2 linked regions of the Macaca fascicularis genome follow. The protein of the gene in region 1 purifies or fractionates together with the protein of each later gene. This does not show direct contact. Links are inferred from orthologs where the notes say so. Each region holds a gene or a part of one and is shown in the gene's direction. Other genes may lie near its edges.

What was found. Proteins that work in one complex are often made in the same cells at the same time.
Region 2: the proteins of PPP2CB (region 1) and PPP2R5E purify together in Homo sapiens (affinity purification with mass spectrometry; 5 studies listed by BioGRID and IntAct, counting the BioPlex papers as one, with this or other methods). This does not show direct contact. The link is inferred for Macaca fascicularis from reciprocal best matches to the Homo sapiens genes PPP2CB and PPP2R5E.

What each region holds. Positions count from the first base shown.
Region 1 is NC_088382.1:34,024,294-34,028,732, reverse strand, and holds the start of PPP2CB (serine/threonine-protein phosphatase 2A catalytic subunit beta isoform), read left to right. Parts: upstream 1-1,566; 5' UTR 1,567-1,976; coding exon 1,977-2,078; intron 2,079-4,439.
Region 2 is NC_088381.1:131,186,824-131,190,469, reverse strand, and holds part of PPP2R5E (serine/threonine-protein phosphatase 2A 56 kDa regulatory subunit epsilon isoform), read left to right. Parts: intron 1-821; coding exon 822-921; 3' UTR 922-3,646. UniProt on the Homo sapiens protein: The B regulatory subunit might modulate substrate selectivity and catalytic activity, and might also direct the localization of the catalytic enzyme to a particular subcellular compartment.

The sequences.
Region 1 (4,439 bases):
GATCATTTAGCACTTGCTATTCAAGGTATCTGGTAGCTAGCAGTTGCTCATGTTACGTAACTGAATTTAGGTCCTCCCACCAGCATAGCAAAGCCAAACACTGACATTGGGGTTTGCAGTGAAAGGGAGGCATTTATTGCATCACACCAACCAAGAAGAATCAGGCAGCTCATGCTTAAGACCCCAACTCCCTGATGGTTTACAGGTAAGAGGTTTTTTGTGTGCTTTTTTTTTTTTTTTTTGAAATGGAGTTTCGCTCTTGTCACCCAGGCTGGAGTGCAATGGCGAGATCTCAGCTCACTGCAACCTCCATCTCCTGATTTCAAGTAATTCATCTGCCTCAGCCTCCTGAGTACAGGCGCCTGCCACCATGCCCAGGAAGTTTTTGTATTTTTAGTAGAGAAGGGGTTTCACAATGTTGGCAGGCTGGTCTCCAACTCCTGGCCTCGGCCTCCCAAAGTGCTGGGATTACAGGCATGAGCCCTTGCACCCAGCACAGGTAAGGGTTTTTAAAGGCAGGGAGGCAGATGTTACAGGCAAAGTCATAAATCAATACATGGAGGCTATACGTGGGTTTGATCTAAAAAGCCAGGATATCTGAAGTAGGGACCCACAGGTCATAAGTGGATTCAAAGATTTTCTGATTTGTAATTGGCTAAGGAGGCAAAGCTTTGAGAATTCTTCCAGGCTCCTCAGGAAGAAATTTAGAACAAAGATAGGTAGTTTGAGATCTCCATGATAGTGGACACCATTTTCCATTTGGTGAGGTCCAGGTTTCTGAAAAACAACTCAGGGACATATGTTGTCTCCAGTTTATATAGGGAAGCAAACATTTTGTGAATCTAACGTCCTTGGCTACTGTCTTAAGCTATTATTACCTTCTTGCTTATCAGGTTGCTCATTGACTTATTGAGGAAGTTAGGTGCCTGGAATGTCCCTTCGGGGAACTCAAGATTTTCCTTTATTTCCATGCTTGGGGAGGGTGGGGGTGGGAGTGCCTAGAAGGCCCCTAAGAGGGGTCCCTGCTGTGTCTCACTCAATAAATATTTGTTGAATGAACAAATCATTACAACTCAGTACACATTGCAGAAAACACAGCCAAGAGCGCTGGAGCTAGAAGGGCCACAGATTATCCTACAGAGCAATCATTTCACTTTTCTAATGTTGAAAGGGAGGATTCAAGATGTTAGGGCTACAGGCAAGCCTGGAAATAATTAATTTACTCCACCATTATTGAATGCCTACTATTGAGTGCTAGACTCTGGGGAGACAATGTTAAGGGAAGCCCAAGTTTTCCAATTCCCTGTTCCGAGCACTGAAAAAGCACTGCAGGAAGCTAAAGTGAGGACAAAGTTCCCGGAGATCAGGATATCTAAAGGGAGAACCAGCAGAGCTTGGTCTTGGGCAGGGTTGGGACAGGAGGGATCCTGGCCTCCTCCGACCGTTTCTCCGCCAAGCCACGCGAGGGCGCCGTTCTGCCCCTAGCGCGCCGTGTCCCGGCGGCGCCGCCGCCTGCTCGCCTTTTCCCGGCGGAAATGCCCGAGCGATGACGGAAACCCGGAGGGAGGGAAGAGAAAGAGCGAGAGAAGGGGAAAGATACCCGGGAGAGGCCGGCAGGCGTGAGGCGGGCCTGAAGCGGTAGCTGGCGGCCTTCGTCCGGCGAGAGCTAGTCCGAGGGCCCGCGCCGCCCTCCCAGCACCTCCCCGCGTCCTTCACCGACTCCTGCGGCGCGCGGCCGGGCGGGGAAGGGCGGGCGGGGGTCTCCTACAGGCCTCGCGCTCGGAGCCGCCTGCTGGGCTTGGGCGGGGCGCGGGGACCGCGGCCGCCCTCCCCGGCTCGGTCCTCCCCTTGTGGGATCTGGCGACGGCGGCTGAGGGAGAGGGGAGCGGCGCCCGGGCCGGGGCCGGGGGCGGGTGGGGAGGGGGGAGGGCAGCGGCCGGGCCGGGGGTCGGGATCCGCATCGGGATCGGGCCGCCATGGACGACAAGGCGTTCACCAAGGAGCTGGACCAGTGGGTCGAGCAGCTGAACGAGTGTAAGCAGCTGAACGAGAACCAAGTGCGGACGCTGTGCGAGAAGGTGAGGGCGCCGCGGGGGCGAGTGCGGGAGCGCGGAACTGGGACGGGCCGCAGCTTTCCTGCCCGCCCCGGCCCGTCCGCACGCTGGCCCCGGGCCCGGCGCGGCCCACCGGGGGCCCGCGGGGCTGTGGGTCCGGCTCCGGCGTCCACCCGGGCGGCCGGCCCAGCCGTTCCGGCCCCGGGGCGTTGGGCTGCCCTCGCCCGGCCCCTCTGCCTCCGCGTGGTACACGCCCCACGCCCCCGGCCCAGATCCTGGTGGTGGGAGGCTCGAGTGCGGGCGGGCGGGCGGGGAACCATAGCCCCCGGAGCCAAGCCGGAGGTTGGTCGGGGTCGCCTGCGCTCCACTGGAGTTCCTGCCACTCTGGCATTTCCCGAGTGGAATAACGAAAGCGACATCCGAAAAAGGACCATTTTCAGACCAGTTTCTGAAAATGCACCTAAAATTAACCAGAATGTCGTGCCTATTAATGAACTTGTTAATAAATGTAGAATTTTTGTCAGGTGAACGGGGCACCTCGGAAATCACTAACTCAAGCCGGGCGCGGTGGCTCACGCCTGTGGTCACAGCTACTCGGGAGGCCGAAGCGGGAGGATTGCTTGAGCCCAGGAGTTAAAGACCAGCCTGGAGCGCAGAAGTTAGAGACCAGTGAGGCCCCGTCTCCACAAAAATTTTTTTTAAAAAATTAGCAGGGCGTGAGGGCGGGTGCCTGTAATCTCAACTATTCAGGAGGCTGAGGTGGGAGGATCGCTTGAGCCCAGGAGGTGGAGGCTGGCTGCAGTGAGCCGAGATCGCGTCACTGCACTCCAGCCTGGGCGACAGAGCGAGACCTTGTCTCAAAAAAAAAAAAAAAAAAAAATCACTGACTCTTGAATGTGTCAAGCGTTTGTTTGTGGAGAGGTAGGCGTGATGGCCAACTGTGATTTTTAAAATAGAGGTTGACTTTGGTGGAAACAGATGGTGACTGGTCTTTGCGTTGAGCGGCTCTTGGAAGTAAAGCGTTGATTCAGAAACGAGAGCTGGTCTTAAGTTTGGGAACAGTGTTTGCTGGAAATAAATGGGATGTGTGTTTTCATGCACGATAACACTTTGCAGAAAGTTATTTTTGTTTTTAATATATATAAAGTTTTTTTCTTTTCCAAAGAATAATAAAACATGCAGGTGATCAATTTCGTTCTTGTACATCGTGTGTGATCTTCACTTTCTGAATTCTGTATCCATTGTTTTCTTAACTCCTGGAATTATTTCGATCTCTCCATCTTTAAAGTCTAGAGTTTTCCAAATTCATCCTTTACAAGGTGGACTAAATAATTTTCATGTATTTTTATGTTAAAAATTCTCACTTGAAGTCCATGAAGAAGTAAAGATGTTATTTTAAGATGTAATGTATACAATTTTCTTAACCATAATGTTTGGAAGTCATGACGTCGCAGAAGTAGGTGAAGAAAAGATTTTGTTAGTCTAATTTTAGGACACTCTTAAAATCATGAAATTTACTTAGGAAAGGAGCACTAATAGATGGTGTTAAGTTAAAATAGTATTTTTAACGGGTGTAATGTTGGCTGGGGCCTTTGTGTATTAAGTAACTGTTAACACAGGAGGATTTATTTTTGTATATAGAAGTGCCAAGCAGGTGGTACTTTTCTCTTTCTGAAACAAACTGCTTACTTGTGACTTCAGTCGACGTTCATTTTTATTGTGATAACCTGTAATTTCATGAGGCTTAAAATGTATGCTTTAAACATCTCTCTCAAGCTCCAATGCCAAGTGAAATGTACAGGTTTGAAATGAGCTGAGTCAGTTAACCTGACTACGAGCATCAGAATACAGACTTGAAGTTAAGGGCAAAGTGTTAGTTGAATCAGTTTTTTCCATTGACTCTTTTTTTTGTTTTATTTTTGTTTTGAGACAGAGTCTCACTCTGTAGCCCAGACTGGAGTGCAGTAGTGCCATCTCTGCTCACTGCAACCTCCACCTCCTGGGTTCAAGGGATCCTCCTGCCTCAGCTTCCCGAGTAACTGGGATTACAGGTACACGCTGCCATGCACTGCTAATTTTTGTATTTTTAGTAGAGATGGGGTTTCGCTTTGTTGGCCAGGCTGGTCTAGAACTCCTGACCTCAAGTGATCCCTCAGCCTCCCAAAGTGCTGGGATTACAGGCACGAGCCTCGTGCACAGTCCCCATTGACTTTCTAATAATTTTAAGGTGAACTCCTAGAGAAGAATATTGTACCACTGCTGTACTTTGAAATAATCACACCGGAGTGTCAACGATCACTTGAGGAAGCTTTCTGTATTTGTCGAGAGATTATTTTTACTTCGGCTCCTAAATAAATCAAACTAACAGTTCCTAGGACTTCACAG
Region 2 (3,646 bases), on another chromosome or scaffold:
CCTCCCAAAGTGTTAGGATTACAGGCATGAGCCACTGTGCCCAGCCTGGGTCTGCTTTTTATTGGTCCACTGCAACATGGAAAAACCAGAGACAGTGCAGTGAATTATTTTTAATAAATGTGAATGCATTTAACTTAGAATATAGTCTTACATTCCTGCATCATGTACTTCCTACTTGGTTGATGTTAAAAAATCCTTTTTTTGTAAAAATGTGGTAATTTTAAAATATCCTTGGCAAAATAAAGTTTGTTGATTCTTACTTGGACATCCAATTTTTGGGGGAAATTTTACCAAACAGTGAAATCCCAAAGTCTGAAAATCACTAAATTTAAAATCAGTAAAATTGATACTGAACCCAATTTGAAGGCTTGATGCATTAAAATTTAATACATAATAATATCAACCAAGTTCTTTTCAGATCATTAAAAGTGAAATCACAAGTTTTCAGTTTCTTCTAAACTGCTGAAGAATTTAAATGTACATGAGGTAGGAAAAATAGATATGAATAAAGGAGCAGATATATTTTCTTGACCTACTATATTCTCTGTATCAGTGTCATCTCCAGCATCCTTTTTGGTAAACTATTTGGAGATAAACAAGAATTAAGATTTTTACTAAGCTGCAAGTGAAAATCACTAATATGCCCTTAATTTTACAATAACTGATGCATATAAGTCATTCCCATTTTTGTTTCTTAGTAGTTTTAATTTTCTGAATTAAGCTAAGTATAAAGGGGTGTCAAGGTGAAATTGTAAAATATTCATTGTTGCATAATCTCATTAAACCTCAGCTGTTTACATTGTATTGTATTTCTTCCTCAGTGAGAAAAAGAAAGAAAAGGAGCGTGAAGAATTGTGGAAAAAATTGGAGGATCTGGAGTTAAAGAGAGGTCTTAGACGTGATGGAATAATTCCAACTTAACAAAAACAATGACAACGACATTACTAACCTGTGGAGTCACACATTTATGTAGTAGAAGATGGAGCAACAGTTTTCTGTATTGTGCAACTTTACAGTAGATTTCACATTTGTTTCATTATTACAACAGCACTGTATATACCTGTCTCTAAGTAAAGGAAAAAACAAAATAAGGACTTCAATCCAAAGTTTGGACAGTAGATGGACTTCTCAGAACTTTGCAAACATAATCATTGTTCTAACCCTCTTTTAAAAAAAAAAATCGGTCTTCAAAGATCTGTTGATGAAATTGCTATGTTAAAATTCCATTATCGGGAGTTCCTTATTTATCACTAGCAGAGAGTATGATACAATTTTCAAATGTGAACAATCTTAAATTTAGCTTGTCTTTCTGCTAAGCTGTTAAATGTATTTATAGTAAAGGAAGAAAAAAAGACTGTCATTTCCTTATAAGTTTGTATAACATCCTCCTCTGGATAACTTGACTGTAATTTGACATCTTTTTCTTTTGCACATCTTCCTGAGTTGAATGTCCATGTGGAATGGGGTCATGAATTATAAAAGTCCCTGATAAAAGTTCTGTTTACTGGGGTGAACATCTTTCCAGTAAGCAGGTAGTCCTGGTACTCCTTCAGTTTTAAAATTAGGAGTTAAAAGAGAAGAGGTGATAAACATAGTAGGGAAGGGAATATTGGATTCATGCATCAGTTTATGGTGAATCCAAATCAATGTCTTGAATCCTTTGAAAACAGGCACTGGGACATCACAGACTTCAGTACCTGACCAGTATTAGTTGCATATATCATTGAACACACATACCAGAGATGTTTTAGAAATGCGAGAAAAACATCCTTTTGGACCATTTGAAATAAGAAAGACAAACACTAAACAATACAACCATGAAATTGATCGCCAGGATTGCAAATCTAATTGGGAAAAGAGTTGAGCAAACAGCTTGGACTGTTTGGAGTTGTTGCCTTACTTTTTAATATGTATTTATAAAGTATTCCAGCAAAAGAGGATGTAGCCTCTGGGAAAAAACAAACATGTTACAGTGTTTTTTGTAGATTCTCGTTCTATATCTCATCACAGCGCCAGCCCTGTTTTTAGCCGGAAAGGATTCAGGATAAACATTATTATGCATTCTGAATTGGATGCATATTCCTAACTACTGTATTTGTTACCAAAAGTGGTTCTACAAATGCTACTGAAAAAAAATCTGGAAATTCCTAATGTCCTGAGTATTAATAATAAAGTTTAAAAAATGCTTTTATATCAAAGGTGCATCGTGACCAAATTGTTTAAGAAAAAAAAAAAAAACAAAATCTAGGGCTGTATTATATATATATATATATCTTATTGGCTCTCTGCTTTGTATTTAAATGAAGAATCTTACATCTTGGGTAGGCAAACTGCTGATAAAACTTGTGTACAGTATGTACTTACCTAATGCAGTTGAATTATTATGTACTGAAAGATATGTGTTTGGGGGTTTATTTCCAGGATGCTTTTGCTTGTTATGGACATGGCAGCAGTGAGTTGGTAATCCTAAACCATCACTTCCAGCAGTATTCATGGAATAGAGCTGATTCTGTGTTCATGTGTTGAATTGTGATAGTAGCAAACATGAACATTTGAACTATTGTTGCTCTTAATAGAAATACAATATAAATATGGGCTTGTATATTTTCTTCCTTACATTTGAATATAAAGTAGAATATGCAGTTCTATTATTTTCAAGAAAAAGGAAGAAAAACTGCTGACCTTTCTCCCCCATAAAGTTTTTCAGGATGATCAGGTCACAGTGTGTATGTAAGAGTCAGCTAATTATGGATATTGTCATCTGGGTAACTTTGTAAAAAAACAAAAACAAAATTGGCATTGTTAATTCCAAAAAAACCCCCAAAAAACCAGCAGTTAAAAAAAAAAAAAAAGTCATATGCAACACCAGGCACAACGTGGTTTAATGGAATTAATAGTTTTTTTTTTGTTTTTTTTTTTTTGTTGTTTTTTCTTTTTAAAGAACATTGATGGGGATTCACTGTAAAGTTGGCAGAGGCTGCCAAAGACAAAACAACTGACTTTAAAAATGCTGGAACAAAGTGATAAAAAATAAATTTTTAACAAATCTTCTCCTTTTTAGCCCTTGTCATTTTAGCCCTTTAGTTTCCACTTTGCATTATATTTATTTTTGATAGTATAAACTTTTGTTTGCCATTAATTCATCTTTTTAGGTAGAAGACATTAAAATCGCAGGTTTATGAAGAATCTCTGCCCATTGGGATGAAATGCAGTCATTTGAAATGAGAAAGGCCAGGATCCTTTTTTGCACCTTACCCTGTCTTCAAGAGGAAAGGTGAACACTTACAGCTCTCCTCCTTGATGTCAATTTTGTATGTTGATCATTCCAAACTGAGAAGAATAAAATTTTAGACATATTTAGAGAATCAATTAAGCTATATGTCTAAAATTCATAGGGCAACTTCTGAGAAGAAACACTGTCTTTTTCTTTTTTAGTGGAAAGTGACAATGTGACATAGTCACGTTGTGTGCGGTGACGCAGAGTAACTGAGGTAATCTGACTGTTGCACTATGTGACATATTTCAGGACGTACTTGCTGCATTTGCAGCAGCCCTCTCTCTCCGTCCCTTCCCACAATTCTGCTGTTGCTGCAACTTGAGTTAATTGTGACAAACGCATCTTTGTGTTATATTTTGTTTGCTTCAT